Linked DNA regions of Oryza sativa Japonica Group. Each later gene encodes a partner of the first gene's protein in a complex. Links are inferred from orthologs where the notes say so. Each region holds a gene or a part of one and is shown on either strand. Other genes may lie near its edges.

Region 1 (4,194 bases):
AAGAACTTAAGAGCAAAAAGTTTTGCAATCATATAAAGATGACATCATTCTAGACAATAAGGTTAAACTATTGAATTGTATCATATGTGAAATACGTTGGTTTTTTTAAGTTATAGAAAGTTGCTAATCGTTATTTTAGTATTCTGAAGTTAAATTAAAAATAAAATTGAGAGTAGGTCTTATAACCTGTAGCTAAATTTTATCGTGTTAAGAACTTAACAACAAAAGTTTCCCAATCGTAATAAGATAGCATCATTTTAGACAATAAGGTTAAATTATTGAATTGTGTGAACTATAGTTATAACTAATATAATTTGAAGACGTCTAGCAATATTTGAGAAGAAAAAGACGAATAAGTAAAATGCAGGCTTACATTAATATACTCGCTCAATCTTTACAAATACTTTTAATCACTATATCTACTACATATAAAATTATTACATTCTCCATTTATTGAATCAAATAATACTATTAGCAAATCAAACCAGCTCAGGCTTTGGTCGTTGGTAAAAAACGTTTTTTTACTAGTCTGGCTTCGGCTTCCTGACCAGCGGTAGCGCTAGCTTGGTGAGTATCTGTCCCTTCAATTGAGGACAAATTTAACTATTAGGTGGCAACCCTCTAAACGCCCGATTAGTGCCTCTCTCTCCCTCTTCATCTCACCATACTACCCCCTTCATGCTGGTCGTCTCAATCTTATAGCCACCTCGCTAGCCGTTGTAGATTGGTAGCCACCCTACCAATTGCCGGAAGCCTCCCTGTTACCATGCCTGCTCATTGTTGGAGGAGCTCTAGCACAAGGTAAGCGTTGAGGCCAAATAACTCGCCAGGCGATAAGAGGAAGTTTGGTGCAGGAGGAGTCCCCACTTAGAAGTGGAGGTATTTTTTTAATAACAATGGGTCTCCAAGGACAACAGTTGTGAAGAGAGACCTAGGCGGCAGAGGAACTAGAGGGCGTAGGGTTCCCCAGGTTAGGATGTGACGTCAAGCTCGTCGCCACCCAAGTTCCAAGATGCACACCTTGTCTTTGTCGAGCTCAAGCGGTCACCTCATCGTCAGGGTTGACGCCCTCCTTCATGTTAGAGCTAGTTTGACAACTAGCGGGTACAACGATAGGGACTTTGCTATGATTAAGGTGGCTGTTAGGCTTTAACAGCTAGCGAAGAAATGAAATATAAAGAAATTGCTAACCTTGCTATGCTAGCGGGCCATGTAGATAAAAGTATAACAAACCACCTTTATTGGATGATAATTTTGTGAAGACAAAATTAAAAGGAGGCATTTAGCTCCCTCTATCAAAATCCTCTTGCTTAAGATCGGAGAGACGTGGTCGCTGACACGTGGGCCCGATGGCAATGGGCTCCACGTGTCAGTGAGACAAATGACTACTCTCCCAACCCCGTCCCCGTCCCTCCCCTACTCTCTCGCCTTCTGTTCCTCCCCCTCTCCCTTCCAACTTCCCAAGCGCGCGCGGGGAGACGATCGGCGACGGCGACGGCGAGGCGGAATGGACAGCGGGAACGTGGTGGTGTGCGACAACGGCACCGGGGTAAGCCCGCCCTCCCCCCCTCCTCCCGCAGCCTGATCCCTGATCCAGCGTGGCGACCTCCCTCCCTCCCTCTCTACCTCCACGCTCCTGCCCCTAGATCTGCACCCCCTCCGTCCCGGTTCTTCTTCTTGGACGGTTTCTTGGATTTCTTCTGAAATTTCCTGAATATATACGATAGGATTGTTTCTCTCTCTTTGGTTGGGGAGTAATTAGCATCTGTGCTCTAGATTCATTTGTGCCGAATAAGTTTTGCTGCTTACTACTGAGCTGTAATTAATCTAGGATGAAATGATACGTGTGCACATTGCAAGAAATTGAAGGGGGAAATTGCTCTAGTATGGTGGAATTATTGTTCTCCACATAGGCAGGAAAAATTGCTGTAATACGATGAGATTATTGTTCTCTGTTGAATCTTTAGATAATGTCCTTCCAAATGCGGAACTGGAATAGATAATGTTCATTCATATAAACCACATTAGTTTGATATTTTGCGGTCCAAAAGAAATTATGCTGTTGTCTTTGGCTTAGTTTCTGTTAAGTATTTTCCACATCATTCCTGTGGCTTGATGTTCGATATGCTTAAAGCCTTAAACAACAGCAGAACATATCATATTCATAGGTGATCTTGTTAATTTCTAATTCGGTACCTAATGGCTAATGTTGCAGTATGTAAAGTGTGGCTTTGCGGGAGAGAACTTCCCTACATCTGTGTTCCCTTGTGTTGTTGGGCGACCATTGCTCCGTTATGAGGAGTCACTCCAGGAGCAGGAATTGACGGTCTGAAATCAATGTCTATCTTTGTGTTTCTGGCATTCCCTCATTCTGTCTCTCTCTCAGTACACCTTATAATTGTGATTGTGTTCCACGCAGGATATTGTGGTTGGAGCGGCTTGTGCTGACTTGAGGCATCAACTTGACGTATCATATCCTGTTACAAATGGGATTGTTCAAAGTTGGGATGATATGGGCCATATATGGGATCATGCATTTTACAGTGAGCTGAAAGTATGACTTTTCATATGATTTATATTACTTTAACATCAGACCCTTTTAAATTTATATGCTCATAATTCATCAACATTCTCCGTTATGTGTCTTGAAATCTCTTAGCTCTAGGTAAATCAATGTATTTCTATTTTGTTTCTTTAGGTTGATCCTTCTGAGTGTAAAATTCTACTGACAGATCCACCACTCAATCCTGTGAAAAATCGTGAAAAAATGGTAGGTTGTTTTCTCCCATCTGGCTGTTCTGTACTATGAAATTTGTTTTTTAAGATATCACTAACTAGCAAATTGAATCCTACGATAAATAGATTGAGACAATGTTTGAGAAATACAACTTTGCTGGGGTATTCATCCAGGTCCAAGCTGTTCTTTCGCTATATGCTCAAGGTACTCTCTCTCTCTCTCTCCCCTTCCCCCCCTCTCAGTATACAGACACATGTATGAGCTTGCACACCTACAAACACAAAATGTACTGGTTCTTTTCTTAACATGTATTATGTTTGTATCCTTTCCAGGTTTGCTGACTGGACTTGTCATAGACTCTGGTGATGGTGTCACTCATGTGGTATGATAATAATAGTCTTCCCTATATTGTACAATCTACAAAGATTTGAAATGCAGAGATTCCATTTCTGTTAATCTTGTGGTGCACTACAAAAATATCTATCTGATGCATGTTTATAATTTTCTACTGTGCTAATGGGTATTCCTCAACTCAACAACTAAGAGGATCTACCTTTTTTTGTTGATCCAGTGAAGATGTATGACCAAGACTATATGCATACCTTGTTTCCTTGTAGGCGGCTTAGTAGAAATCACAGCCATTGAACACCATAATCTATGATTTCTGGTCAAAATGTCGATCATGGAAATAAAATGATAATTTAAACTATACTCCATAGTCCATAGTTAGTATGGCATGCTAGTGCCCGTTTAGTTATTCTCGCACATAGCCAGTTAACATTGTAAGGTTATCACCAACGTGTGTAGTAAGTAGTAAGCACAAAAAGTTAAGCAATTGAATACTGACTATTGTCAATTTGCAATGTGAAAGAAAGTTTTATCTAGATTTACTTTTGCCCGTCATGTTTATTATGATCCAGGTGCCGGTAGTTGATGGATTCTCTTACCCACATATTACAAAAAGAATGAATGTAGCTGGAAGGCACATAACATCTTATCTTGTTGATCTACTCTCAAGAAGAGGGTAATACTCTTTATCATTTTTATATGTTTGTAGATAAAAGATGCTCTGAAAACACAGGCTTATGCAATTGTTTGCTTCAGTGTTTTTCTTATCAACTTAATTTCGTGCTTTAAAGGTATGCTATGAACAAATCTGCCGACTTTGAAACAGTCCGGGAAATAAAAGAGAAACTATGTTATTTAAGGTCAGTTGCTTTATTGTTCTTAATTGTTTTCGCTATAGCTTGCTGTCACATTTCATAGAATTGAAAAGGGAAAATATGTACAGCTATGATTACAAGCGTGAATACCAGCTAGGACTTGAAACCACTATCCTTGTCAAAAGCTACACTGTAAGTATGTTAACCTGCTTTGTTTCTATTTGGTCCCTTTTTGTATTATTGGCTGAACTTTTGTCATCAGCTTCCAGATGGAAGGGTAATCAAAGTGGGCAC
Region 2 (4,206 bases), on another chromosome or scaffold:
ACACACTAACTCTCTCTTTCTCTCCATTTTATTTTCCCCCGATAGTTGGGGAACCGCTAGATCCAGCAAGAAGGAGCCTGGATCTAGCGTCTCCACTCTTCATCGGGTCGACTCCTGCCTCCGTGAGTCGCTACAATAGTATGCATGACAAGAGGGAGAGGAAAAAAAGATGGCTCATGGAGTGCAACTAGAGGGTGCAGTTGCGCATGCAAAGACAGAGAGGAGAAACGATGGTGGCTCATAAAGAAAGAGTGGTGGTGGCGGTGCGTGGAGTAATAGTTAGTGGTTACTGGTAGTATGAAGAGTTTGTTGTCGACTCAAATCGCTAACTGAGTTTGTTAATTTTTAGAATGTGGACCACTAGTCATTATAAAGAAATAGTCATTATAAAGAAATAGCTAGTCTTATAAAGTAGTAAAATATTGAGATATCATAAAGGTGAGAGTACTCGTCTAGAGCTTTTAACTTTTTACCATTTTTAAAATATGGTAATTAAGAATTTACTACTCACAATCTATAATACGTGGATCCTTATGTGTATATGACACGAGAATGCTCCTTCTCGGTCGCGCGAGGGGAGGGGAAAAAATCGGTCGCTCCACCCTTCCCCCATCACGTGCGCACCAGCAATCTCTTTGGGCCCCCACCACATGTCCCCTGTCCCCACCTGCCACTTGTCCACACACACAACTCTATTGCAACAAATCACCCACATATTTTGAAAACCCTATATTAAGGGAATTTGGTTTACTTTTTGTTCCACCAAAAAAGTTTCACGTAGTGTACTCATAATGTTTCACTATGTATAGATCTAATGTTGCAGTGAACTAAAATATTCCATTGCAACAAAAAAACCCACATATTTTGGAAACCCCCTATTAAGGGAATTTGATTTATTCTTTGTTCCACCGAAAAATGTTTCACCTAGTGTACTTATAATGTTTCACTATATATGGATCAAAAGTTGCAGTGAACTGAAACATTCTTTCACTATTTGCTGAAACATTGTTTTTATATAAGGTAAAACAACACCCAATTGAAACGAGTGAAATATTTTCGATCTACTTAGTAAAACAATTCCGATATACCTGGTGGAACATCGTGCAACATTTAAAAATAATTCAATAATAAGGTAAATTTTTTTTCGTCGAAATATATGCCTGTGTGGCCTTGTTTTGAAGATTTAATTGCAGCGAATTTAATGATGCAATCGGATTATGATATGGATAAGTAATTTAAGAGAAAAATCAGTTTAAAATAGTTTTTCACGTAAAGCGTCCGATTTTTCTCCAAACCGATCAGACGCACGATCCGTAGACTCGTCCGTCCGTATATACATGTGGGACCAGCGGTAAATTCTTAATAATTCCCAATAGTAAGAGTCTGAGCGTCTTCCCCTTCCCTTTGTGGCGTAAAAGAAAGAAAAGAAAATCTCCCGTCTCTTTGTCTCCTCCGCTCCTTGCGCCGCCGAGACGAGTCGCGGCTGAACAGGGGAGGGGCGGCGATCTCCATCGGGGCGAGCAGAGCAGGGGAGAGGATTCATGGTGAGCATCCGCATCCTCTTTCTGATTCATCTCTCTCTCTCCCATCGGGACTACTTTTGTCTGGAATTTGCTTGCGTTCGTTCGTTCGTTCGTTAACCCTAGCTTCTCTTCTAGATCTGGAAGAAGCTCTTCCCTTAATTTCAGAGCCTTAACCTTAATACAAGTAACAGTTTGTTTATTCCCCGAGAAGTTTGAACCCCCATGTCCCAAGTTGGATCCGCTCCTGTACATAATATTGGCAGCTTGTGGCACTCTTGAATGGAGGTCTTGGAAGATACTTTAGTACCTGTTCTATTAGATTGGTGTGTTATAGGCCCTGTGTGGAATACAAGAATTTTGCTCGGTTTTCACCTTTAATTTTCCTTGTATTTCCACCTTGTTTTGTTAGATCGCTGTTGCTCACTTGCTTGCAATGTACCGTTATCTGAACATCATATGCTTTTTTTCTACTTGTGGACAGGTTTATCACTCTAGCTTTGTTGATGACACCGGGATTACCAAAGCATGCGGCTGTCCTTTGCTTCCACTAAAAACTCATATAAGGGGCCCAGCGCCAGCATTCGATCAAGGTATACTGACACGGTGACAACATAAAATACATTGTGATATACTTCCGTGGTTTCACTCTGACAGAACCATGCCAAGCTGCTGATTTATGTCGTGCTATTACAGACAAGGCTGACATTGTTGATGAAGCAATTACATTCTTCCGAGCAAATGTCTTCTTCAAAAACTTCAATGTGAAAAGCCCAGCAGACAAGTTACTGATCTATCTGACATTTTACATCAATATTGCCCTGAAAAGGCTGGAAGGTTGCCGAACACTGGCTGTTGGGACAAAGGCAATCATTAATCTGGGTTTGGAGAAAGTTCCTGTGCCTGGGGAACCAGGGTTTCCCTTCCCTGGTCTTTTCACTCTACCCCAATCTCAGGAGGAAGCAGGTATATGACTTCATCCGCCACTACCACATTTGTGTGCTTGTATTCTCTTTTACTCCCTCCGGGTTGATAATACTTGTCGTTTTGGACAAGAGCACGCTTTCCAAAAAACAACTTTGGCCATTATTTTTAATTATAATATGTATAAAGGTGTTAACAAATATATGATTTTATTAAAGTACTTTTTAAGACTAATCTATACATGTAGTCACCATATTTTAAAAATGATTCATAATCAAAGATTCTAAAATTTGACCTCACCCTTGTCTAAAACGATAAGTATTATCAGTCCGAAGGGAGTAGTTTCTCAACTGTGTGAAATCATTGTTGCTTTTTATTCCTAGAGAAAAGCTTGCCTTATTTCTCGAATAGTTAGTTTTTCTTCTTTTCCCCCAATTGTTTATCCATGCTGCTTTTCTTCTATACCATACTATTTGTCCTGGCTAGGGAAAAAACAAAAGAATGAAGCCTATTGGAAATTTAGCTTTTGTGAGATTACAAGGGGACCTTTCCAAACTACAGCAATTTATGTCTTAGATACTTTTATTTTGGATTTAACTAAATCTGTAGTGAACTCCTTATTTGATGTCCTGTATATATGTTTTTTTTTTGTCAATTTCTATGGTCTAAACTATAAGTCTGCTCTGGGTATAGAAGCAATAAGTTGCTTACTGACTATTGACAACTGTTTTTAGGAACATCCAAGTTGTAATTGCATCAGTTTTTTTTTTACTTCTAGGGACTAAATAAAACAGTAACTTTCCATCTCTCATGGAATGTGATCTCAATTAAGCATTTCTCTGTTGGATTCAGAACTATTGAGGAATTATCTGAAGCAGATAAGGGAGGAAACAAGTGGAAGGTTGCTTAACTGCGCATACAGAGCTAATGGTACTCCAAACAAATGGTGGTTGGCTTTTGCAAAGAGGAAATTCATGAACATTGTCATTCTTTGAAGTATAGGTATTTTCCGCGACATGTTTGAGCAATTGAGCAGCTTGTAGGAATGGTAATTGCACTTGCGTACTTATTTCTGCGAATACTTTAGAGAATTAAAGGAACGACAATGATTCTACACCTCGATTGATGGAGCCAAAGGTTCTAATGAAACAATGGATAGAATGTCAACAATTTGTTTATTGCAATGGATGAACACAAGGACACCTTTCAGCTGTTATGTTGAATTTCTATTTTTCATTTTTATTGTACTCCGTCCGTGCCCTTAAATTGGGCATGTATTTTTCAGATGATGTTTGAATAGCGAATGTTCCGTGTAGGACATTTGTACAGATTTAATCAGGTGTAATGAGAATGTGAATATATATTTTCCTGATCCCTCTTTTTTGTATCATTCGTGTTAATCCTTTATCTGTTTTTTTTTCAATATGATTATAAGATATGGAGAAACCTGGACGTGCGCTTCCCTGATCTTGCCAAACGTTGGGAGTAAACTGCTGCTTATAAACACCTCAAGTGTGAATTGGCATGGTTAATTTCATTATTCGATGAAGCATTCTTTGATACAAGGTGCTTATAAACGATTTGAATGCAAAGCCCATTGCATCACTGAGACCTGAGGTGATATTCAAGCTCTATGGCTTGTCAGTCACCATGTCATTCGACACAAAGGATATCTAATGCCAGGTGTTCATACATAGATTCAGAAAAACAAAATATCATTCGACACAAAGGATATCTAATGCCAGGTATTCATACATAGGTT

What was found. The genes of interacting proteins can lie anywhere in the genome.
Region 2: actin-related protein 2 (region 1) and actin-related protein 2/3 complex subunit 3 share a complex: the UniProt entries of both Arabidopsis thaliana proteins name them as parts of the arp2/3 complex. The link is inferred for Oryza sativa Japonica Group from reciprocal best matches to the Arabidopsis thaliana genes ARP2 and ARPC3.

What each region holds. Positions count from the first base shown.
Region 1 is NC_089042.1:17,335,652-17,339,845, reverse strand, and holds the start of actin-related protein 2, read left to right. Parts: upstream 1-1,394; 5' UTR 1,395-1,507; coding exon 1,508-1,549; intron 1,550-2,215; coding exon 2,216-2,326; intron 2,327-2,419; coding exon 2,420-2,554; intron 2,555-2,698; coding exon 2,699-2,770; intron 2,771-2,862; coding exon 2,863-2,941; intron 2,942-3,069; coding exon 3,070-3,119; intron 3,120-3,657; coding exon 3,658-3,761; intron 3,762-3,876; coding exon 3,877-3,945; intron 3,946-4,028; coding exon 4,029-4,092; intron 4,093-4,162; coding exon 4,163-4,194. UniProt on the Arabidopsis thaliana protein: Functions as ATP-binding component of the Arp2/3 complex which is involved in regulation of actin polymerization and together with an activating nucleation-promoting factor (NPF) mediates the formation of branched actin networks.
Region 2 is NC_089036.1:7,667,405-7,671,610, forward strand, and holds actin-related protein 2/3 complex subunit 3, read left to right. Parts: upstream 1-1,406; 5' UTR 1,407-1,541; coding exon 1,542-1,544; intron 1,545-2,004; coding exon 2,005-2,113; intron 2,114-2,216; coding exon 2,217-2,486; intron 2,487-3,222; coding exon of another isoform or gene 3,223-3,233; exon of another isoform or gene 3,234-3,296; coding exon 3,297-3,439; 3' UTR 3,440-3,831; downstream 3,832-4,206. UniProt on the Arabidopsis thaliana protein: Functions as a component of the Arp2/3 complex which is involved in regulation of actin polymerization and together with an activating nucleation-promoting factor (NPF) mediates the formation of branched actin networks.